Drosophila melanogaster: one gene and its partners. The protein of the gene in region 4 interacts with the protein of the main gene of each other region in a pairwise test. Each region holds a gene or a part of one and is shown on either strand. Other genes may lie near its edges.

Region 1 (6,932 bases), on a different chromosome or scaffold from region 4:
CAGGCACATAAATCAAGGAGTAACCCGCTGACCTTCGGTATATCCGAATACCAATGGTATTCCCGCGTTTTTTAACTTATTCAAAACTGGCCCTGCTCCGAGTTGTAATCCCCTCCAGAATGCCCGCAACCCGACTCACCCTTATGGAATCGCCGAGAGTGCGTCTCTGCTGCATGTAGGACTGCATGGCGGATCCATTGTTGTTCCCGGCGGCTGTGAAGTTGCTGTTGCTATTGGCATTCGCATTACCGGACACGGATACGGTGACACCGACGGCCGGATGGCCGTGCGCGGCATGCGGATGCGAATGCGGACTGCTGCCGGACGAGGTGATCGATCCCTGTTGCTGCTGCTGCTGCGCCTGCTGCTGTATATCCGGCACGGAGCTGAGACTCCGCGCCCGCTGGCGATCGATGGACGTGGAGTTTTGGTTGTGGTACACCTGCAGGCCGGGCAAAGTGCGCAGCAGATTGAAACCCTGACCGGTGGTATCATTGCCGCCACCGCCGCCGCCGTTACCGCCACGATTCTGGCCGGGATTCGAGTGCTGGTGTTGCTGCTGCTGCAGCGCAGAATCGGCGGCTCCTGTTGAACTGCTCGAGAATGTCCTGGAGCGTGGGCTCTGTTGGCCACTGGTCGCCGGAGTGCTCGCCTTTTGACCCATAGATGCTGATGGAATTATTAACTGGGCGACGAACCTTTGACCACCTGCGCCTGCTCCAGCTGCTGCTCCTGCTGCTGCTCCAGCAGCGCCTTCTGCAATTCTCCGCCTCCGCGAGGCGTCCTCTTTGTCTGCTCCTTCGCGTGCGAAAAACGGAGCAGACAACAATAGCAAACAATGCGATGTGCGATTTGCGATGTGCGGATGATAAATGCGGTCGCTTTTTTGTCGCTCGCTTGATAAGTGTATGTGTGTGCGTGCTTGTGTGTGTGTGTGCGAGTGTGTGTGTGTGTGAGTGTGTTTTGGTGTTTGTGCCAAAAGTGATGGTGCTCGTGGAGTGGATGGGGGGCGGGGGTGGGAGTAGGTGGCAAGGACGGGGGGCGGGCGTCAATCGGTGCGTAGTTGAGTCGCGATTGTTATTGTTGCTGCCCCGTTTTCTTGTCCTCCGCCTGCTGATTCCGGGGACTCAGATGTTTCAGATGTTTCAGATGCTCAGGTGTTCAGTTGCTCTGGTTCTCCGGTATATTTGGAACTCGAGTCGGCTCTGCGGTCGCCGGATGATGACTCCCGATGACAACCGATGACTGATGGATGATGGGCACTAGCTGCTCCTGCGCCTGCTACTACTTGCTACTTGCCACTTGCAACGGGCTCCTGCTGCCTAATCCTATGGAATCGGATCCAAACGCTACGCGGTGCACTACTGCTGCTCTCGCCGACTAAAAAATAGGTGTGACGCGACACGACGCTGCTGGCCAATCTGCCTTGATTACACTCTCAATTTAAATGACCGTTTTCCATATTTTTTTTTAATTTTTTTTTATACATTACATTAAAAGAGTTTCTCGATATCAACAGAGGCGTTAGTCCAATTGGGAGGGCCAATCGATTGTCGACGGGTATTCTAATAAGAATGGTGTCGGTATTGTGTAGGCACCTAGCTGAGACATGAACCTAGATGGGGTATTCTTCATTTGCGCATTTATAAAATATAAATTTTAAAGTATCATTTTAATATTTTTGTTTCACCTACATGAGGTATTCGCTTTTTTCTTTCTCAAATTTATCAAATTCTTTTGCATCGATTCAATGTTAAGTTAGTATGTACTGAAACTGCACAAAACTAAAAAATTATAATTTCTAATATTAGCTAGATTTTGTGTGTTACTTAGTTCACAATGGTTTGATTGGAAATCAATTAAAAAACAAATAGTAGAATATATATGTTTAAAAAATGCATTTTCATTGCACCGTGTGCTCACTGTAGTGCACGACCGGTGGTCACACAGCTGGCCTATCGATAGCCGACTATAGTTATCGGGGCTGAGTTGAGTTGTTGAAAACACAATTCCAATTGGCCATTAAATAGTCAAATCCGCAGCTTCCCAAAACATCAGGGACTTGCATGTGCCTCCCAAGGAGCAGGAGATTGCAGCAGGAGCAGCCGGAGCAGCAGGAGTGCGATCTGGACTAGGACTCAATTCGCCCAAGCTACTGCGGCGACGTCAACAGCAATATTGATACAGTGGCACTTGGGGCTGCGTTTCCACATCCGCACCGAAGATGAGCTGGTTCGAAAAGGCCAAAACGGTGCTAATTGAGGCGCTGGACATCCAGGATGACGACAGCAAGGCGGCGGAGAAGGACTCGCCGATGGCAGGAGCTGCGAGCGATGGTGGCGCATCGCCTGGGAACAATGCAACGGCGGAGACACCTGGATCCGCTGCCACGCCCGCTTCGGATACGCCAACATTCTTTGACAATCCGCATGCCAACGAAATGGTGACCATTCCACCCACACCCACATCGGTGCCAGGAAGTGCCGCCTACGGCAAACGGCAGTCAGCCACCTCGGATTCGGTGGATCTGCTGTCCTCCCCAACCTCGCCCATCTCGCCCTGCGGCGGCGATGTCCCCTCGGTGGCCAAGCGCTTGTCTGAATCCTCGCTAGAACTCATAACGGCCACCACGGCCAGCGAAGTGGAGATGTCACCGGACACGGAGCCCTCCTTGCCCGACAGCATTGTGATAATCGCCAGCAATGACACATCCGACAATGCCGAGGGTGATGGCGAGGATGATGACGATGAGGGCACCCAGCTGAAGCGCCACATGGAGGACCACTTGAATGGTATTGGGCCTTGTCGCAATTCTCTTTTTTGTATCGTTTGCTAACTGTGTAAACCTTTCCCTCTGCAGACTCCACCAAAACCATGAAGGCTCTGGTCCTGAGCGACATCCAGGTAGCCGGTAATGCTGACTCCGATTCCACGCAGAGCTTCGAGGACATCCAGCTGCAGATGAGCCACAAGGGCAAGTCGCCCGCTCCGGCCAAGACGGGAACGGTGGACCAGAGCTACTCGTCCACCTCATCGGACATCGAGATCATCTCAAATCCGAATGGCGACTCCAGCACCAACAGCACCACCACGCGCACCAGCCCGCAAAAATTCAAGGAGCTCGCGGGCGGCAAGGTGTGCCTAAAGGCCAAGGGACATCATCGCGAGCCCTCGGAGATCTCGCTGCTGTCGGAGGACTCACAGTCGGAGCTGGATAAGCTGGTGCAACGCATCAGCGAGCTGAACCAGGTGATTGAGGCGCGGGAGCAGCGACTATTGCAATCAGAGCGCCAGAATGCCGAGCTCCTCGAGCGCAACCAGGAGTTGCGCGCTCGCGTCGAAGCGGCAGCCAATAGCGCCAACAGTCCGGATGCGGCGGATGCAGTGCAGCGTCTGTCGGCGCTGGAGAAGAAGTTCCAGGCCAGCATACGCGAGCGCGATGCCCTGCGCATCCAAATGAAGAGTCTGCGCGATGAGCTGCAGAACAAGATACCCAGGGATGAGCTAGCCGAATGCAACGAAATGATCGCCGCCCTGCAGTCCGAGGGTGAGAAGCTGTCCAAGGAGATCCTGCAGCAGTCGACGATCATCAAGAAACTGCGCGCCAAGGAGAAGACCTCGGACACGTTGCTGAAGAAGAACGGCGAGCAGATCTCGTTGCTGTCCAGCGAATCGGAGCGCCTCAAGAGATCCCTAGCCGCCAAGGAGGAAATGGAGCGCACGCAAATCGAGGCAGTTTGCCGGATGACGGCGGAGAAGAAGCGCGTGGATGAGGAGAACGCCGAGAGCCGCAGTCGCATCGAAGATCTTCAGTCCAGACTAGCTGCCCTGCAAGCCAGTTTCGACGGCCTAAAGGGAGATCTGCAGAAGCGCACGCGCCTGGAGCAGGACAGTCTGCGTGCCGAGCATCAGGAGTACGTGCAGCAGGTCTCCGATCTGCGCGAGAAACTGCGCCTGGCCGAGCACAGCCTGGCCAGAAGGGAGCAGCAAATGCGCGAGGAGAACCGCCAGCTAATGCGTCGCCTGGAAGCCGCCGAGCTGCGGGCGGAGAGCTCTACTCAAGAGCTGGGTGCCACTACCACGCCGTTGATACGACAGATCGAGTCGCTGCAGCGTACACTGGACCAGCGATCCGCTGCCTGGAACCGCGAGGAGCAGCAGCTCCTCCAGAAACTGGACGACTCACAGGTGCAACTGCGCTCGCTGCAGCAATTGGAATCCGTACAGGGCGAGAAGCAGGAGCTGCTGCGCACCCGTTGCGGCCTGCTGGAGGAGAAGCTGTCCAGTGCGCTAATGGAGGCGGAGGCCGCCAAGATGGCACTGCGTCAGCACGATCTGGAAGCGGCCAACAAGGAAAACGATCACAAAAAGTGCGTGCCATTAAACCTTGTATTGATTTACCCATTTTTAATATCTACCCATGCAAATATATTTCTAAACTAACAGACAATTGAGCCTGCTGCAGGAGGAGATTCAGCAGCAGCAGGAGAGGATTGCGAGTCTGGAGCAATTGTGCCAGCGGCAAAAGGAAGAGGAGGAGCAGCGGAAACAGCCCACGCTGCTGACAGTGAAGGCGGTCAAGGCTAGCAGTGAGTTGCAGCCACAGCTGCAAATGCAGCTGCCGAAATCCCAGGCACCACTGCGCTCCTCACCGCCCCTCAGTTTGGTGGACGACAGTGGTTCCAACGAGGAGGCCCTGGGCGGCATGATCGACTGGCAGGCGGTAATGTCGCCTAATCTTTCAAATGAAGAACCTTCTTAAGTTTCTAATTCACTTTCAAATTCAGGACGACCTCGATTGCGCTTCCAACTCGGGTCGCCAGCAATCGGGCATCATCCAAGGTGTACACCTGAGCTTTCTGGCGGCCAACACAACGACCTTTGAGCACCTGCAGGCTCTGCTCAAGCAGCGCGACGGGGAGCTGACCCACCTGCAGTGGGAAGTGTCGCGCCTGCAAGCAGAGCGAAGCGTTCTCGACGCCGAGATATCCAATCTGACCATCGAGCTGGAAACGGTAGGAGAATAGCCCATCTTGACAAGAGATAATAATGAATACTATTCGTCCAATGGTAGATGAAGGAGAAGCAGCAGATGTACGAGGTAATGGAGAAGGGATACGAGGATCTGCAGCATCGCTACGACGCCCTGCTCCAGATGTACGGCGAGAAGGTGGAGCGCACCGAGGAACTGGAGCTGGATCTGACCGAGCTGAAGGCGGCCTACAAGCTGCAGATCGACGAGCTGCTGGCCGCCCCGCCACCCAATCTGCAACGGCCGTCGAAGCAAACATGATTGCCGGAGCGCAGGATCGTCTCCCTGCCCGAGTTGCCATGTTTGCGACGGACGTGGCCACCGTAACGTTGCCCATCTCCGTCTCCCATTCCCAGTTGTAATGTATTATGCTTTCAATACTAATCGATACGGATCCGGTATGGGGAACCCACTTCCAAGTCCCAATCCACCCAAAACAACAAAAAAAAAACCAACACATGTACATGCGAGTATATATATTACCTATGATTTGCGTATGCTGACACCTTCTAGTTATATTATAAATTGATCGATTGTGATAATTTAATTTATATTTATATATACATAAAGTTATCGTCTATGACTATGTACAAAACTGTTTCTGTTCCGAGCAGTTTGCCAGGCGGTTGTGAAGCAGCCAGCAGAAGCAACAGCCTCTTCCAAATACATCAAATATCATTTAATACAAAGTAATCACAGGGACTCCCGCAGGATGTCCTTAATGGCCTGGGTTAGCGGAAATACAGGTTTCTCGCTGTATTTCAAGTTTGGCATAATGCTGCATGAGTTCTTGAGATCATCGGTGTTCAGCGAGAAGACCATGACGCCACCCAGATTGAGGGATTTCACATAGTTCGCCTTGCAGGCGATACTCGTTTGATTTTCGTACGATATCCACTCCTGCAGAGCGCTCAAATATGGCGAACAGCTCTCGGCATCGTAGGACAAGTTTGGCTTGAAGAACTTGGTGACACACTCACAAGTTTCGGTCAGTGTGGTGAAGCCCAGTTGGCCACATTTACCGTAACCGGAAGCAGGAGCTCCTATGCGATGATTTAAAGGATTAACCAACCTGTTTGGTGGGTGAGGAAGTATAATTAATGAGGGATTCATTCCATAATACATGCAGTTACTAACGTAAATGAGTGGCCGTAGGTGGGCAGACCCACAACCAGTCGCTGTGGCTCCAGACCGCTTTTTAGCCACCACTGAACCGTGTAATTGATGTTGAACGTGGCCATTAGCGAACGTTCCTGCGAGCGGGCATAAAGCGGAGCATTTAAGCCGGTAAATGGTGTATCCTCGCGGTAGAAGTGGAAATCATAGGACATTAGATTTACATAATCTGCGTACAGATTTATCTCTCGGATGTCGTAGGCATAGAAGGCGATTCCCTCGGGAGCAGCCACCGCCAGCGAGAGAATATCATTGGTACGCTTTTCGCGCCGCCACTCCGTTCTAATCTCGTAAAGCAGCTGCGAGAGATGCATTCGCTCACGATCGTAGGCACTCGGAAACTCCCAGTCGAGATCGATGCCATCCAAACTGGGATAGGTGCGCAATATTTCCCGGAGGGAGCGCAGGAACAACTTTCGCATGGCGTGGTTCGCCACCATGAGGGCAAATGACCGCCCACTGTCGGCGCCACCGATCCAGAGAAGCAGGTGAACCTGCGGATGGGCAGCACGAAAGGATCGGGTGTCGTTCTGTAGTACCTGTCTGAGGGTATCGGGAAGGACTATGGTGGCATTATCCAAAGTGGCGGGTCCGATATTGATGTGGGTGCACAGGTCGCCGGGAACATCCAAAAGGCTGAGATTGTGGGTGCCATCGCTTGCGTAGTAGCACACCAACCGCTGCCCCACCTTGTGCACTTCCCCAGTTTGGATGCCGAGTAATC
Region 2 (4,239 bases), on a different chromosome or scaffold from region 4:
GTGCCCAAATGCAAACTGGAAGAGGGTCGGATCGTTGAGTGTGTCCACTGCGGTTGTCGCGGCTGCTCCGGTTAGATTCCATGTGGACGCATTATTGGCATCTTTATTCGACACAAATAATCCTCATAATACATAGTTCAGTAGGTTCAACTTTAGATTTCGCCTGATTTCTTCATAGTATGTAAATACATTTAAATACAAGCCACAATTATGGTTAATGGCATGCTAAACATCTAAATAGATGCTGCAATAAACCGATTATGTAAACGACAAGGCATCGTTGGGAAATGCGTTCCGATTTGTTTAAAAAAAAATGTAGAAATGGTATGAGCAGACATTTTTGTATTAGAATGTATAGAAAAGATAGAAATTAACTTGTAGTTTAATCAAATAAATAAAGATTATAATTTATGAAAATGTTTAAAAGCATTTAATAAATTAAATTTCCTACATATGTCGAAGTGGAGTTTTGAATATTAACTTAAATATATTCCTTTTTTTATAATCTAGCCATCTCAATATGTGAGTTGTGAAAATTTCTGTAGTAAAATATGCAATTTACGTACGTCCTTCTAATGATTTCACAGCTTTTCTTTAAACGATATATACTATACATACATATATTTTAATTTAATGCCTTGGACAATTTATTGCTGCGCTGACATAATTCAAACTCAATGTCGTTTTCGGGGATGTGGCGGAGTCTCCTTCATGTGCGTCCATTTATCGTCGCCTTGCTCCTCGATTTTCAGTACTCTTTCTAAGGGTATAGTGTTTCTTTATTGTCCGAAAATGGAAGCCCTAGTTCAACATTTGAGTATATAGAAATAAGAGTATATACATATTTCCTTGAGTCATCCAATTCAGCTAGAGTATTCCGGCCATCGGCATTCCCAACTTATTCTCAAGCTGAAAACTGTCAGGCTTCAAGTGTTCCTGCGGGGTTTGGTTTGGTTTTGGGTGGCCAATTGGGATTTGGTCGAAAATGATTATAAATGGTTTTTTAATTATACTTGTCTGCATATTTTCTCATTTGCCAAACAAACGCGGCGCTGTCGATTTTATTGTTCACATGGCAAATGGTTAATGCCGAATGGAAAATGGTAAAATGCGAAAAATGGAAAAATTATTGCCCGTCTGCCGCTGACAGCTTGCCCCCATCTGGCTGAAATGGGGGATTTCGAATTAAAACTGCTTTCGGTCACTAAAAATACTCAATTGTTTTGCCAATTACCCAGCGGAGTTATTTATGCCAGTTATGTAATTCGAGTGGCACACATGTGCAGCGTTGTAAATTGAAATACATGAAAATGGAGCAAGTGGAAAGTATATTTTGGGTACTTGCAGTGTTATAACATTTTACTGCTTTTTGTTCAACAATTAATTGGTTATTTAATTAGCATAAGTTGCTGCTTGCGTCATATTGTTCTATAATATTGCTAGTTAAATATTACATTACATCAGCCAGAGATAGCAACTATTTATGGATTTTGAGTTTGGTCCACCAAACTCTATTACATATTATTCTCAGCCAAAGGGATTTCTGGTTTAACCCTTTGAGGCCTGCTAAGCAGGTCGCTGAACCCCTCATCGTTTCGAGGGCTGTTAAATTAATTAATAGACTAAATGCGGTCGGTTCGGCTGGTTAATCCCACGACAACAAGCCGCAACTTGTTTGCCACCACGTCGAAAGTGGCTCCTTGAAATGGCTACCTGATGCGGGAAACCCACTTCCAGATGGGTTGATCCGGAATGGACAAATAGCAACTTTAGCAGGTAGCAATGGCAATCGATATTGGTGTCTCTTATCGCATAATGCCGCCTGATCCCACCCGCTTGACATGCTCGTATTTGCCCAAGCAGGTTGATTTTCCACATAGCCCAACATTTGTTGACTCATTTCGGCTGCTAGATAAGGCGCGAATCGGCAAATGGATGGTGATAGACGAACAGCCCAGCTTGACCTTGGGATTATTGTGGATTTAATGACGCCCTTATCAGTTGCATTGAATCGTATCTCTTGGCTTAGAATATCTTTTATATTATGGGGAGTATTTGCATACCGACATACATATGTATGTAGGTAGCCATTGAAGAAACCCACATATTGGTTCGCACCTGATCCTTTTGTTTTTAAATTTGACCAATTATCAGGTAGACTCAGTGCGTCTGCTACCCTAATCCCTTTGTTTACATATCTGCGATTCGTTGGCCAATCCGGATGCAGGTAGGCGGTGTCCAGCAAGGCGACAAGATTGAGGAAAACAAGATCATAAATCCCAGTGACCGCCATTCATGAAGGTAGAACCCGCGAATAACCCATCCAGTGTCCAATGGCAAGCTACCTGCGGAAATGGTATAAAACGGGGCTGACATATTGCCTAAGGCAGCATTAGCACACGAAATCTCGACGAGAGCAGTCACAGACCACGTCACACATCGAAAAAAATCACCATGGAACGGAGTCATCTTTACTTGCCCACTCTGAGCTACGCGGCCATGGGTCACGTATACGCACCGTATCGCGGAAGCAGTTCACCCGCACTATCGACAGCATCGTCAACATCATCGAAGCCGGAGCAGATCGAGGAGCTGGTGTCCCAGCAGCTGCATCATCTCAAAATGCACTACGCCGACGAGGAGCAACGCTACGTAGACCAGATGCTCCTGGAGAATCCCATTGTTGTGGAGCGCCGTGCACCGCCGCCGCTGAAAACGGAGCTTGCTATGGATTGCCGCGGATCGGGTTCCGGATCAGGTTCCGGTTCTGGTTCGGATGTCAAGGATGCCCAGCGTCAGAGGGCCGAGTCGTGCCGCAAATCCCGCTACAACAACAAGATCAAGAAGGCCAAGCTGCGCTTCCGGCACAAATTCGTCAGCGGGCAGCTGAAGAAGAGCGCCGTCATGTTGGACACGATGCGGGATGTGATTGCCCAGGCGGAGAGGCAGCTGCTCGAGCGGGGATATCCCGCCGCCACACTCGAGCGGATGCGGGCCACTTTCGGCCTGGAAATGGAGCAGTGATATCATAGTGTAGCTATGTGTCGCAGGAACGGATCCCTGACTAGTCCAGCATTAGCCATACCACTTTTTTTTTTTGTTGACTATATCTAGTATTTATCTAAGCATATTATTAAATTTTTAAATAAAATTAAGAATCATATTGAAAACGAATGCTTTCTTATTCAAATATTTGTTATAGGTTCACACGATCATATGGAGTCAAGGATAACTTGTTAATTTCACTTTACAAGAATTTCCCATAATTTGGATGCATTTATTCTGCATTTAACGCATCGGCAGTCTTGGGGTTTCCTTCGCCTGGCCGAAGGTAATCCCATCGGAATTGGGCCAATGCAATGCACCCATTTCGACTTGCTTAAGTTCAGTTCATTTGATCCGACATGATTGCACTTCGCTTTCCCCGTTTCACGTTTTTCCCCCTTTCCATTCTTTTTTTCCCTTTTTTTTTTTGGCTTGCGAACAATTTGCGTTGCCAAAAGCAGCAAATGCAATGGAAGTAATGGCCTTAAGAGCAGGTTTCTGTAAGAGATTGTGGCTAAATTTAGTGGGGCTACTACTGCAAATAGCACCCCACTTTCTGGTTGGTGTTTTCATTTAAGAACTGCGAACTGAACTTGGAAGCTTTACTAAATGCTTGCCAAGGGTATATACTATGTATATATATATACAATATAATTTTAATAACTACATATATTTTTTAAGTAATTTCTCATAATATCTTGATGTCTGCGTAATGAGAAGGATAAATATAGATACTTCTGATTGTTTTTTACCCCAAAAAGTTATTCTATTTCACGCCGTATCTTTTCAACTCTTTAGGTATCAGTTAGTCGTTACTACTGTTCACAGATATTTTTTAATAGCACAACATTAAGAATGAATGGAGGAGCAAATAATAGGAATGTAAAAACGAGAGTATAAAACGCATTTCGCCACAATGGCCAATCGAATTTCAAGCTGATGCTCGCTCAAAAATTTCATTTTCACGTGCCAGGTTACAAATGATTTCATCGCTGCAGTTTTCCTCCGGCTAAATCCCCACTATCCCCCCATTTCCCTGGATTTTCCAACTTTCTGTTGCTGCTTCTTAACTACGCACGTCTCACTCTTATTCGTTCACTCAAGTGCACACAATTCAGCGATTCAACGTCATCAGTGCGGGGAAAGGTACTTCGTGTACCTAACTGTGGTACAGCATTAATTTTGTTACCTAAA
Region 3 (6,634 bases), on a different chromosome or scaffold from region 4:
AGGTGCGAACCCGATAAGGCAGTCCATTATTGATTGCCGGTCCGATATGTTCTTGAAACCCAACTACCAAACATACATAGCTCACACTCCACCCTGGCTGGAAAAACATTGGGCTAGATTAGAGATATCGTGCCCTGTAGCTCCACCTCCTGGAATCAAACTTCTGGCTCTCGCACTTCTCACATGGCCCAGGCAGCGCTTCAGGAACCGAGTTAGAAGAGACAGGACTACTAACTGAAAGCTAAATGGAGCTCAGAATCTGAGGTCGCAAATCTGCGAAATCTGCTGGACATTCGACTCTGGTGTAGGGACGCGAATTTCATCATTTCTCTGGCATATATATATGTATATAGATATTGGGGAATAAAATTAGAAGAAATTGTTTGATTGTTTAAAATATGGGCGTGACCGTTTTGGGTGTTTTGTAGGTGTAAGGAGGGGCGTGGCAAAAGTGTTTTTGGTATACCGACAGAAATTGGTAAAACAAACAATAAAACCAAGAAAAATCAAAACATTTTTCAAAAGTGTGGGCGTAGCAGTTTTGGGAGGCTTGTGGGCGTTAGAGTGGGCTTGGCAGCATATGGCCAACAATCTCGCGAGGCATCTATGTATATCTCTAGGACAGACGGACATGTCTAGATCGCCTCAGCTATTGATTCTGATTAAGAATATATGTATATACCTCATATAGTCGAAAACGCTTCTTTCAGCCTGTTGTTCTGTTCTGTTACATACTTTTCAACGAATCTAGTATATAGTATATCTAGTATATACACCACGAGTAACGGTTATAAAATGGAAGACTATCATATATGTACATACATAGCCCGAATATTATAGATTGGATATATTCTTAAATGGGTAAATACATACATATATGTTCGTTCACTTTTTGTTATAACAAAATAAAACTAGAATACTTATATATGTAACTAATTGTAGCCGAAAACAGTTTTGAAATTGGATTTCAATTAATTTCATTAATAGGAGAAGCTGTTGCGATGATATGATCGTTACATAAAATTATGAAAAAATATATAAAAACTTTATGTATTGTCTTCTATTGCACCATATATTTAAAGTGCCGTAAACTGTAATCTTGGTGCGGTTTAAAATTAATCACCTATCGCCTTGCAGAGCCATTAGCACCTCAACTGATAACGATGATTCAGCCCGGCCCCCAAAAAGCCTCAAAACAAGATAAGTGCAAGTACAAGATTGTTTATTACTGGGCGCTCAGGAAGGGCAAGAAAATCGAATGAAATACATATTTATATTTATTAATAAACAAAAATGTGTGAGGATTTTAAAGATCCATAATAGGGAATAATAAAAATACGCGTATTTATATTTATATCTATCTATGTATAATATATACACAAGATCAACATCGGTTAAAGGTCTACTATTTTATAGTTATGATTACTATCACAATGGGAACGGCTAAATGCCGCAACAGGACCGCTGGCCCGCAGGATCTCCGGGATCCGGGGCCTCCGAGTCATCGGAGTTGTTAAGGTTATCCGTATCCGGATTCTGGAGGCGAAGTGGACTCGCATCCGGTTGCCGTTGGCTCAACTGCTCCAGCATCAGCTGGGTCAGGAGCTCGAAGAGCTCAGCCACCCCCTCGTTCTCCTTGGCCGAAGTTTCTACATATTGAGCGCCAACCGTGCGCGCATATTGAAGGGCCTCATCGTGCGTTACTGCTCGCTGTTCCTCCAAATCAGTCTTGTTGCCGACGATTATTAAGGCAATCTCCGTGCCGCGCATTTGCCGGAGCTCCCGCACCCAGGATTTGACCTTCTGGAACGAGTCTCGGTCCGTTATGTCATAGACGAGCAGGGCGCCATCGGAGCCGCGATAGTAGATGGGTCCCAGGGCGTGGAACCGCTCCTGACCAGCCGTGTCCCAAATATTCAACTGCGCCCTTCTCCCATCCTCCAGGGACATCTTGCGGCTGACAAAGGAAGCCTGCAGGGTGCTTAGGTGCTGGGCATTGAACCGGTCTTCCATGTAGCGCAGCACCAGCGACGTCTTGCCCACACAACCTACAATTAAGGGGTTAAAGCTTTCAGGAACTAATTAGGTTTGTTTAGCTGCTAAACGTACCTTCGCCCAGCAGCACCGCCTTGAAATTAAGCGTGGGGCCGTTCCTCGTTCTGCTCGAGCTCATTGTGGTTTCCCAATAGCTAGGTGTCCTACCTTGATACGCATCAGTTTTCAGAGGACACGGAAAAACAAAAAAAAAACAAGAGGTAATCGAAAAGATTAGGTTTTTACGAGACCGCCAGTGTGGCTGTCTACCAGCACTATTGTAATGGCACTCGGCGATAAATGTTGAATAAGCGAGAAGTCACATACGTATCTGGCCACACTGCGGCCTCAAGCAAGGCCGAGAACTCAATGTCGCCGCAGTCATACATGAAAGATAGAAAATACAATTAAGCGATTTTAAATTAAACCATGTTTTAATTATGAGCAAAATATCGATGCATAGCCTAACATCGATATCAATAAAACCATCGAATGTATGCAGTATGGTGTCGATGAATCGATATTTTGCACGTTACTAACACTGAAGCACGCAGGGGTCCGGACGAAGCATAACATAATAATTTTTGGTTGTTATCTATTAAAAATTGCTGACCATGGCCTATGACTTGAAGAAGGAGTCAGACGTGAAGGAGTACGTAGAAAAGCTGGGCGTGGAATATCGATTCGGGTGCTATTCCGAGAAGAAGCCGGAAGGTGAGTGCGGCGGCGGCAGCGATAGCGACGGCGGCAAAAACAATTGAGGTCTATAACCTCCGATGTGCGGGAGGACAATTCGCGGGGCTTGAAGACATTGCATTTATGAGATAGCTAACTGGCGTTCTGCATTGCAGCGTGCCACTTGCTGGGCGACTACTTGGAGGGCATCAAGAAAGACTTTGAAAAGGCCTCCAAGGTGTACAAGTCGACTTGCGACGACTATGGTTACGCAAAGTCCTGCTACAAATACGGCAACTACAGTTTCCTTGGAAAAGGCAAGAGCGGTAGCAAGGGGAATCCACAAGTGGCCTACGAGTACTACGAGAAGGGCTGTAACTTAAACGACTCGGACGCCTGTCTTCACTCCGGCCTGCTGCTCGTTTCAAAGTCCATGCCTAGGGAGATCGACTGGAATGTGCCCAAGGTAAAGGTGTCGTATGGCGATCACGGTCCCAAGCCTTCAATAAAAGGCTAGCTCTTGGAACTGTTCAATTTGCTTAAAGTGCAACTATGTGCTGCAGTACATTCTCTCATTTGCCCCACCTGTTTCTCATTTGATCCTTGAAATCATAAGTCATTCGTATCGTGTCCAGATAATTGAACGTTTAATTGTAATTTTCTGATTATGTTCCAATGGATGTATAGACATATGTATGAATATAGTTTAGTTTGATCCAATTTAAAACTGTTCAATATGACCCCAGCAGAAAAGTGTTTAAATTTTATTTGATTTTGTGATTTGACATTATAATTTTACAACACCCGCAGGGCCTGGAGTTTCTGACCAAAAGCTGCGACTTGAACAACGCCACTGCCTGCTTTTATCTCTCCGGGATGCACATCTCGGGCGTGCAAAAGAAGGCGGATCAGAGTGCTGTCACTGCATCCTCCGGAAGTGGTACATCATCACCCCCCGCCGGACAACCGCCTTTAAAGGACTCCGACTATATTGTTCTAAAAGACATGAAGAAGGCTTTCCAGTTTGCCCACAAGGCTTGCGAGCTTCGCAATATGTATGCGTGTGCCAATCTTAGCCAGATGTACGCCCGGGGCGATGGGATCGAGAAGAACGAAAAGGAAGCGGAGAAGTACAAGAAGCTGGCCCTAGAAATGCAGGACGAGGTGAAGAAGCAGCATGATACGTTAGGGTTCCAGCAGGGCGTGGGCATGCCTAATTGATAATGCTTGATTCCTGATATTATCTGCTGCTACTGTTTTTAGACCTTGCTTCAGGTCAGGTCAGGTTTTTCTTTACCTTCTAGCCCTTTTCAGTAATTTTCAGTCAGTCTAATTTTGGTAGTTAAGCTAACTAACTTGTGTTTGAGATTTCTGTGTACATAGCTGGCACTTGCATGCGAAAGAGCGAGAAAGAGAAAATAAGTAACAATGGAAATTCCTAGATTTAATTGTTAAAGTTATTAAGTGATGATGAACCCTTTAAAAATTTTGTTGATACCTTATATGAATATACAAACAAGTCTTACCAAAAAAGTAGACAAAAATCTTCAGTTAATTGTGTTTTAGTTACGGTTGCTTGTGCACAAACTGTTGTTCTAATATTAATGTAAGAACCAGTACATTTTTCTGATCAGAATCGCCTGCTAATCCGACAGCCTCATTTTTTTTTTAAATCTAGCACATTATAACGTAATTAATCGTCTTGTAATATCTGCATGTCCTTTCCTCGAATACCTTCTCATGAAGATGTGCACTACATTCGTTCTAAAGAATGTAAAAGGAAAAATAATGTGATTCTGCTTCGTCCACAAGTCTAAAAAACTATTGCGTTTCTACACATACAAGTCTTTCAGGCGTAAAGATGTCTTTATAAAACATTCCCAAAATATTTTAAATTTGCAGCTAGAATATAAGTCGGAATGGAATCATATATGTAGATATGTAGCTGAGAGAAATAGTCGAAACCTTCGGGGTTTTTGATCAAAAAGTTATTTTTGGTTTATACAGTATATTAAATTTCGGCTGGAACTGGATCGAAATTGCTATATCTGCTTTTGGCTGGACCTAAATGAAAATTGGTCTACTTATCATATACATAGCTGCCATGGTAATAGTCGCACGAGAAATCCGAATTTCAAATTATTAAGGTAACTTAAGTTAAAGTTTAAAACAAATGTTCTTCAAACAATTTATTAAAATATGTGTATAAAATATTCGATTTTCTTTTCAAATTTCATTGGGATACTATACCAAAACGGTTTGTAGCGTTCGGTTAATGTCAGAGGCCATAAACTATTTAAGCATAACAATAGCTATTTCCTTTTAGAACCATTACTGCTCAAAGTATGAGGTATTCTGGTATTACTACCAACCAATCAAACACCTTAAATGCCTTTTTTAAAATTTTTATGTTAAACAAAAACAGCTTCTAGCAAGGTGGTAAAAATTTATTTTTCCTGGTAGCCAAAAATTCTAAAACAATAAGTACAATAATACCCAATTATTTGTCTATTAAAGAAACATTGGTTAAATGTAATTGTCATGATTTGTTTTCGAGAAATGGGCAAGATTTTGTTAACGGAAAACAATAATATTTTAAGCATATTAAAAAAAATTGTAACAAAAGTATTGACACAGGCGTCCCCGCCAAAGGAATAGGCAACACTTCGCAAAAATGTGGCTGTGATGAACTTTATGGGACCTCACAGACTCAAACTGTGTGCAAGTACTAAAATATCCCTGGTACGAAGGCCTTTTAGTGCCATTATGATAGAACTTTACAAATTCTTACAAATATTATCAAATTGTAAAATATTCATACGAATCATTAAAAAATTAATATGATAATTGTGTAATCTTGTTGTAAGGAATTTAAGTATGCATGTAAATGGTTCTGAACGGACTGTATCTATATACAGTCTGTTTGTGCAACACTTTCTCTGTGTTCATTGTCAGCTTGACCTACTGTCATTTCAAGAAATAGACGCTTTATTAAAAACTCTCTTGTCCAATTAGTTGCTGTTTAGTTACAATAAATGATAATAGCTCCTTCCCGCTCTATCTCACAATATTCTTTCATATGTATGTATGTACATATTTGCATTCACATACAGCTGCGGTTAAAATAATAGCACTACTGCAGGTGGAAAGTTCATTTCCTAAAAAAAATTATTAAATGTTTATATTTTTTAAAGTAAGTTTGCATGAATAATAAGTACCATATGTTGGCTCTCTGAACAAGAAATTTTTAGTCTCTCAATGTAACGGTTCTTTTTGTTTTTGGGCACTTGCTGCTAAAGTGCGCGAAATGAGGCGGTAACAAAAATAGCACTGACCACGTATTTACTGAATAAAATTAATAGGAGTGATTGCTTTGGGTTTTTTTTCGACAAATTTTGAAAAAATGAGTTGTATTAAAGGTTTTTATTGATTTTTTTCCAAACGAAGTCCAAAAATTCTCTAGTTATGGGTCGCGGAAAGCATTGTACCGTCGAAAAAAGAAATTTGATTAAAAACTTGATCTCTGAAGGTAAAAAATACGCTGAAATTGGTCGCATTGTCGGTTGTTCAAGTAAAATGATCCGCAAAGCACTGCTGTTTGTCGAAAAGAACGAAACACGGCGAAGAAAGCCCTCAATGTCCAACGTGGAGATCAAGCGCTTGGTTCGGCAAGGCAAGAAGGAGCCTTTTAAGCCGGCGACGGAACTCAAGAAGGAGCTTCAGATAGCTGAAAGCGTGGAAACTGTTCGCAAACGCTTAGGACAAAACAACCTTAATGCGTGCAGCCCAAGAAAAGTCCCGCTTTTGACTGTTAAGCATGTGGCAAAGCGAACCGAATATGCCAAGATTCCCAAGGACTGGGTTGTGGAGAAGTGGCACAACATTTTGTGGTCAGATGAGACCAAAATTGTGTTGTTCGGTGGAA
Region 4 (6,345 bases):
CGCTGTCAGGGAAACTAAAGTTTCCAGGCCTGCAACTCGACCAATTACCGTTAACGTGGCGCTAATGGAGGTACCTTCTCCGGGGTCCAATACGTGCCACTTGAGAGGTGCATCGCTGTGGCATAACAATGACAGCGTCTCCACTGACCGTCGACCCGTAATTAAAACTCAATTATGTGGCTACGAAGTTGACAAAGTGGCCACATCAAAGTAGATAAATTTCATTTACCGCCTGAAAGTGCAATCATTACACTTCGTAAAACTTCGCACAGCAGTTCCGATTCGTTCACACTTGATAGGTCAAAGTGCAGATGGCAAGTCCTGCGATGGCAATCTACCAAAGTTTCCAATCACAAGTTGTCGCAATAATTGAGGACATCCAGCAGTTACGGCACCACGACCAAGGTGCTACACGTATGCGTGTGTGAGGGAATACTGCGGCAAATGCCAACCGCATTCTCAATGAGGCATCCTCAAAACGTGTCCCACCAGCAACAAGTTCGCCATTTCTGCGTAACGCATCGATAGAAAATATATAATTCAAGCCGAACACTAAAATACCAGAGAAATCACATGTAGTACCCAAAAATAAATAAATTAGCAGATCTAAGGCCAATTTCAGGTAACTCAAATATAATGTGGTATAAATTTCCGCACAATATAAGCTGCATTGAATGAAAGCTTTCTTTATATTTAACTTACTAAATGAAGTATAAACAAATAAATAAAAATAGATTTTAAACTATGTTTTAGAATAATTTTTGATTAGATAATGTAAACATTTCCAGCTGATCAGCCATTTGTCTTGTCGACCTCTTGAAAAATTGAGAGTAGAGCAGGACCACAATTTACTGATGGAATTTTTACACAAGTTATTTATTTTGTTTCTATTGCTGGCCGCTTCATTCATGACGACTTCATTTACTTGACGAATGTGCCCGTGCAGGACGAAGGATCCACGCTGCTGGCTTTATTAATATTTATAAGTTGGACTCTCTAGCAGGAGCTTAGCCAAAGCCGCAATAATTCCCCCGACCACGCAATCAAAATCAACCCTCTTGGAAATTCCGATGGCTGGCTGGAGACAGCCACTTGGTTCGCTTAACATTTTCAATTTCAATCTAATCTAAATTACATGATATGCGCACAATTTGAACGCTAATGAGCAAGGAATTTGTGGTAAGATGGTGGCGGAGCAACGCTGCGTATGCGCAACATATTGCGTGTGAATTTTAATTAAAAACTTTTCTCACTTTCCAACCGAGATAATCTCTGTCCCACCGCCTTTTCCTCGAAATCTCCCACTGCGAATCGGATGTCCTTTCGTGTTGGCTGCTGTTGTTGCTGTTGCTTCGATTGCATCGATTTTCTGCTAACTTTGAACGGTATTTGAAAGGAGCTTAAGCTTGTTTCTTTTATTTGCGCTACCTTCGCGCGAAACCCGATTCCATGGGCAGCAAACAGGACCAGGTTGGCTAACAAATTCTTGGAGCTATTCAGCGGTTAGCGGTTGGGGTAAACAACTTCTATAATCACTGTAATGCGATCAAGCATAAAGATGGCTCTAGCTGACCGTTTATTTAGATGGGTAAACGGGTAATCCTATTTTTAGCCATGTTTATTAGACGAGAACAGCTTCTTTCACTAATGCGATTTAAAGAAAGCCTAATTTTTTAAAATAACTATACTTAATTAGTTGCAATCTCTTTCACATTTACATCACCCCTGCTAAGTAGAGGGTATGTGGTAGTCGAAGAACTCGTCTATAGCGCCCTCCCTGATTGTTGTAAAGTTGTAATAATAGTAATAAGTTAAAATATGTTGGTAGAGGATTTCAATGAGGTATTTTATTTCAATAAAATTCCGCTTAGAACATTCACCATTCGTTGCATTCCGTTCGCCCTCTAACCTGTTAACTTGGTTTTAATTTACACTTAATTACGTGCATTGCCGTGGCAAAAGTGCAACAGATTGCTTCGTGGATTGCTTCATTAATTGTCCTCTGTTGTGGCAACTACCATCCTGCCGCATCTCCCCTCTAATAACACATTACCAAGCTGCTGGTCCTGCTATTTAATGGCCTCACATGTGTCGGGAGATAGGGACAAAAATTAACCTTTGACCTGAATGTGTACGGTATCGCGTCACTTGGCTGTGCAAACAAATTGTTTCACGTCAAAAAGTTCCATTATTCGATTATGAGCCGGTCGAATAATACATTAGTAATGCAATTAATTAGTATATAAAGAATTCCGTATTCACACCGCCATCGGCACCAAATGATTAACTTCCATGGCAATTGTTTTGCTTAGGGCCCAACCACTTGCTTGATTCCCTTCCCATAACTGCTCTTTTCTGGCCAAGAGCACCTGCCCGCTCTTTGGAATTCCCAGTTGCTTTCTCTTCGTTTGCCCACGCAGCCGCATCAAGCTATTCCGAAAATAAAGCAGCCGACTTGTGGACGTTGCGTATACGCAGTGTTGTCGCCGCCGTTCGTTTGGAACCACTGTTCAGTCGCTAGCTGGACGTGATGTTGGCCGGAAGAGCAGCACGGCAAACAAATAAAGACTTAGCCAAAACAGCTGAACAATAGCTGAGCTGAACTGAACTCCAGGCCGTAACAAGTGTGGCAGTAGTTAGGTGTTCGTGCCGCTGAAACAACAAGTATCCAGCACAGTACTTTCTATTTCGGTTAGTCGGTCGGTCGGTTGGTCGTTTGGTCGGTTTGTCCGAGTGTGTGCGTGTTGGCCACCTAAGTCCTGGTGCGTGCGTGTGTGTGCGCGCTAACTGTGTTTTTGGATGCAAATCAAAGCGCAGCTCACCTGAAAAGTATGCTTTAAATTTTTACTATCGCCACTCCGCGTGTGTACTTGTAACTCTGAAAAGTTTCTGTTTCTGTGTTTATTTGACTACCGCGGCGCATTTACATAAGTAAACTTTGGCATGCGCGCGGCCTGCTGCCGCTGATGTAGATGTAACGACGTCGACGTTGGCACTGAATAATTAATGCAATCAAGCAATTTGAACCCGTTCCGCCGTGGAGTGTGCCTGGGCCAGTGCCACAACGGTTTCAACGTGACCATAATGAGAGCTCCCCAAGCTACAAGTCACTAAGTGTGCCCGAAAAGCCCAATAACACAAAGAGATAACCTGACCAAAATTCGCAACAAAAAAAAAAAAAAAATACAACACACAAGAAGCCTGAGGAACAAGGAGGGAATACACTATATTTTTCGACAGAACTATAGCTATACTATACCATATTAACAAGAGAGAGTCTACTATATATGTACTTACTTAGTGCTAACTGACCACGCATATTCCAATCATAAATTATCGTGATAAAAATTCTTAGGCGCTGAAAGCCAATTTCAATTTTCACCCAAAAACGATAGAAGAAGAAAAGCCCCTGAAAGAGAAGAGAGAGAGAGAGAGGGATATACGCTGTCTGCAGACCAACAAATTACTAATAATAATTTTTAGATTTAAACGACAACAAAAACGAGACTAACAAACATCTGCTGGCCACACAAGGAACGTATACAAATAAATGCGGGTATATAGCAAAATGTAGACAGCTTGGCAAATATATTTCGATTAAAATATATACCAAATTGAACTGGACAGAGCTTTGACACGAAAACCAAATCGTTTGCCAAGTGAATTTTATGAAATTCGCCTGATTATTGCGGCAACAATAGAGATAAGATTCGGAATCAGAGGAAAAGCGTTTAAGTGAATGGGAAAAAGCAGCCAACAGGTTGTCGACGACAGATAAGGCCAACATTTTCTCGAAATTGGTAAGTTGAAATCACAGCAGTGTAGAACGAATGAAAAATAATGAATGTGGCACTTCATTTCTACCACTTGGAAGGATAGTCTGATTTAGAAGTTTATTAAATGGTATGCTAAGTTTTGTCAATGATTTTATTTTGCTAAGAGCTTTGCCATCAACTAATAAAGGAGATTAAGCTTTGAAAACTTGATTGAAAATGAATTTGGGTTTCTGTGGAAGCTTAAGTTTTGCCAAAGTGAAAGAAACTACTGCAAGTTTTGAATAAACTAAATAATTTCTTTAGCAAAGTTAAAGTTTGACAAAAATCATTACAAACTAAAATGGTCATTTGGCTACTTTTAAAGCAATTTTCTTAATTGCATATATTTCGTGTTGGCAGAGTGCATTTAAAATTCTTTTTAAGTTTACTCACCTCACAATTCCCAAATCTGTATCCATTAATTAAGTGCAACTACTTACAGCTGAGAAATGTGATTAAAAGAATGCTATGCAGTTAAGAAATTAAAGTGTCATTGGTGACTTTCTTCACTCCTGCAAGTTCGTCGCTTTTTGCAAAGGTCCTGCGCACGGCTGCCCAATTCCTCCATCCATTATCCACGTAATCCCACTCGTCACGAGATTCCATCCGTCAAATCCCATTCCCGCCCAGCAGCAACATGTAAATGCTCCTGTAGTTCCGGAACATATGTGTACGAAATGAAAAGATCCCAAGGAGTAAACTGTAAACTGTAAAAATACTGACCATGTCGCAAAGTGCCATAAACAATTTTACAACATTTTTGCTGTCATAAGATTAAATGTGCATAAGCTGGAGGAGGGGCAAGGACAAGAAGAGCGCACTCCTCCGCAGGAGGATGAAAAAAAAAATGGAAAGTGCTAGGGAAAAAAAGGAGAAAGCTGTAGGAAAAGCTGGGCAATAGAGCACTGCGATGGGCGAAAGCGAAACAAAAGCAATAACTATAAAACAAACACGACAATTCGCTTCAACTTTGGGGCTACAAAAAATGGCTGAACACACACAGACAGAGGCAAACCGACTTTATGTGAAGAAAGAAAACAACGCTGAAGAACAACGGAGACTCACAGATACGAATACACTGGGTGAAAACTGAATGATTTAAATTACACAATAAAAGTATTGATTTAAGAGTGCTGGGCTCCGGTACACTGCAAGATAGGTTAGACAATGTAAACTTTAAAATATTTAAGATTTGGAAACTCCTTGGGGTTTAAAGGAATATTATATGGAGAGTATTTATGTTTTTCTCTGTAATATGTCTTGCATCGCTTTGGATTTTCTCACTTGAAGGACCCCACTTCGATTCCAGCACTTTTACTCGCGGTGTACACATACACAAGCCCATGTGCATTCATTCTGAGCTCCTTTTTTATGGCCGCTGGCGGTGGGTGTTCGTTGGTATGGTTTTGTTGAGGGTCGACTGGGCTATAAAGGTATGCAGCAGGCAGCAGACGACAGCATCCAATTACAAAGTGAATATTTCGAGACTTGTTGGTTTGACTCCCGCCTTTACGCTCGGGCAGCATATCTCGGTTTCCTTCCATGTTGACCTTAACATTTATTTCATCTGCTCTCTTCTCGGCTTTGTGTGGCAGCCTTAAAGTGACTTTCAAGTTTTTGGTACCGCCGTTACTGTCGCTGACCTGATTCTGATTTCTTCTTTAGTTGCACGAAAACGAGACCACCGAAAACACCGGGTCCATTCCCAAATGAAAACATTTTACGGGGAAGCCCCCACGGAGAGTGGTGTTAGTAGGAGGTCCTTGGGGGGAATAATGAGGTACGCGACCGTGCCCACTTGAGCACGTTCTACATGAACTGCTGGCCCAGCCGGCAATGGTGATGATGGCATGCTAATAACGTCCAACGACCACCTTCCTGAATGGCCAAAATACAAAAAATAAAAAAAGAAAACAAAAACGCTAAAAAACTGAGAAAACGACCAACATGTTTCGCCACGCTTTCGCATTTATACATGGCCTGTCATTTTAACATTATCCGCGCGAAAACCCCCCGATAGCTATCGGTGCGGTCCTGCTGCTATTTGACTCCGGGACTTTCCCCAAAATTTCGAGGGCCAACAAGTGTCCGCTTCAATGTTTGGGCAGCTGTGTGAAATTTAATTAGATTTACGACGGCTTTGTCCATCAAACACTGCCCGCTCACCCGTGGCGTATACGCAATGTCGCCATGCTGGGAGGTGGAGCACACACACAGGAAGCAATCACCTGCTGACCAACAAAGAGCACATTGTCCCCTCCTTTTGTGCCATGATTTTTGGACACTTTGTATGCCACGCGACATGTGTCAGGTGGGTTTAGTTCCAGCTTGGCTTTTGGTTCATTTCAAAAAAAAAAAAAAGTAGGAAGGAAGGATGGAGAATGGAAAAAGGAAGCTCTGAAATGGCAGCACGTCCTTTGAGCCGTGTGACGTGTGGCAATCACAAGGCAGCTCAATAAAGGACGAATCGAATTTGTAGGCTGAGGCTGCAGTCGCGCATCGACTATCAAAGCACCAATTTTGAGTGATC

The links.
Region 1: the proteins of Stacl (region 4) and Tmf interact in a two-hybrid assay, tested with the Drosophila melanogaster proteins (one large-scale study listed by BioGRID).
Region 2: the proteins of Stacl (region 4) and sisA interact in a two-hybrid assay, tested with the Drosophila melanogaster proteins (one large-scale study listed by BioGRID).
Region 3: the proteins of Stacl (region 4) and Coa7 interact in a two-hybrid assay, tested with the Drosophila melanogaster proteins (one large-scale study listed by BioGRID).

Annotation. Positions count from the first base shown.
Region 1 is NC_004354.4:6,842,383-6,849,314, forward strand, and holds Tmf (TATA element modulatory factor), read left to right. Parts: upstream 1-1,958; 5' UTR 1,959-2,224; coding exon 2,225-2,792; intron 2,793-2,860; coding exon 2,861-4,370; intron 4,371-4,446; coding exon 4,447-4,723; intron 4,724-4,787; coding exon 4,788-5,015; intron 5,016-5,074; coding exon 5,075-5,293; 3' UTR 5,294-5,465; downstream 5,466-6,932. Other genes in the region: CG14435 (uncharacterized protein), read right to left, coding at 140-664; Cht11 (chitinase 11), read right to left, coding at 5,726-6,104, 6,170-6,932.
Region 2 is NC_004354.4:11,320,506-11,324,744, reverse strand, and holds sisA (sisterless A), read left to right. Parts: upstream 1-2,387; 5' UTR 2,388-2,454; coding exon 2,455-3,024; 3' UTR 3,025-3,166; downstream 3,167-4,239. Other genes in the region: l(1)10Bb (lethal (1) 10Bb), read left to right, coding at 1-75. UniProt on the Drosophila melanogaster protein: Involved in sex determination and dosage compensation. Required for proper expression of Sxl in embryonic somatic cells. Also has an essential function in the yolk nuclei. Involved in endoderm migration and midgut formation.
Region 3 is NC_004354.4:23,010,934-23,017,567, forward strand, and holds Coa7 (cytochrome c oxidase assembly factor 7), read left to right. Parts: upstream 1-2,561; 5' UTR 2,562-2,648; coding exon 2,649-2,748; intron 2,749-2,885; coding exon 2,886-3,175; coding exon of another isoform or gene 3,176-3,226; exon of another isoform or gene 3,227-3,333; intron 3,334-3,519; coding exon 3,520-3,930; 3' UTR 3,931-5,653; downstream 5,654-6,634. Other genes in the region: Rab21, read right to left, coding at 1,444-2,048, 2,110-2,173. UniProt on the Drosophila melanogaster protein: Required for locomotion. Probably involved in the regulation of formation/maintenance of motor neurons at presynaptic terminals at the neuromuscular junction.
Region 4 is NT_033778.4:15,398,584-15,404,928, forward strand, and holds the start of Stacl (Stac-like), read left to right. Parts: upstream 1-2,512; 5' UTR 2,513-3,800; intron 3,801-6,112; exon of another isoform or gene 6,113-6,345.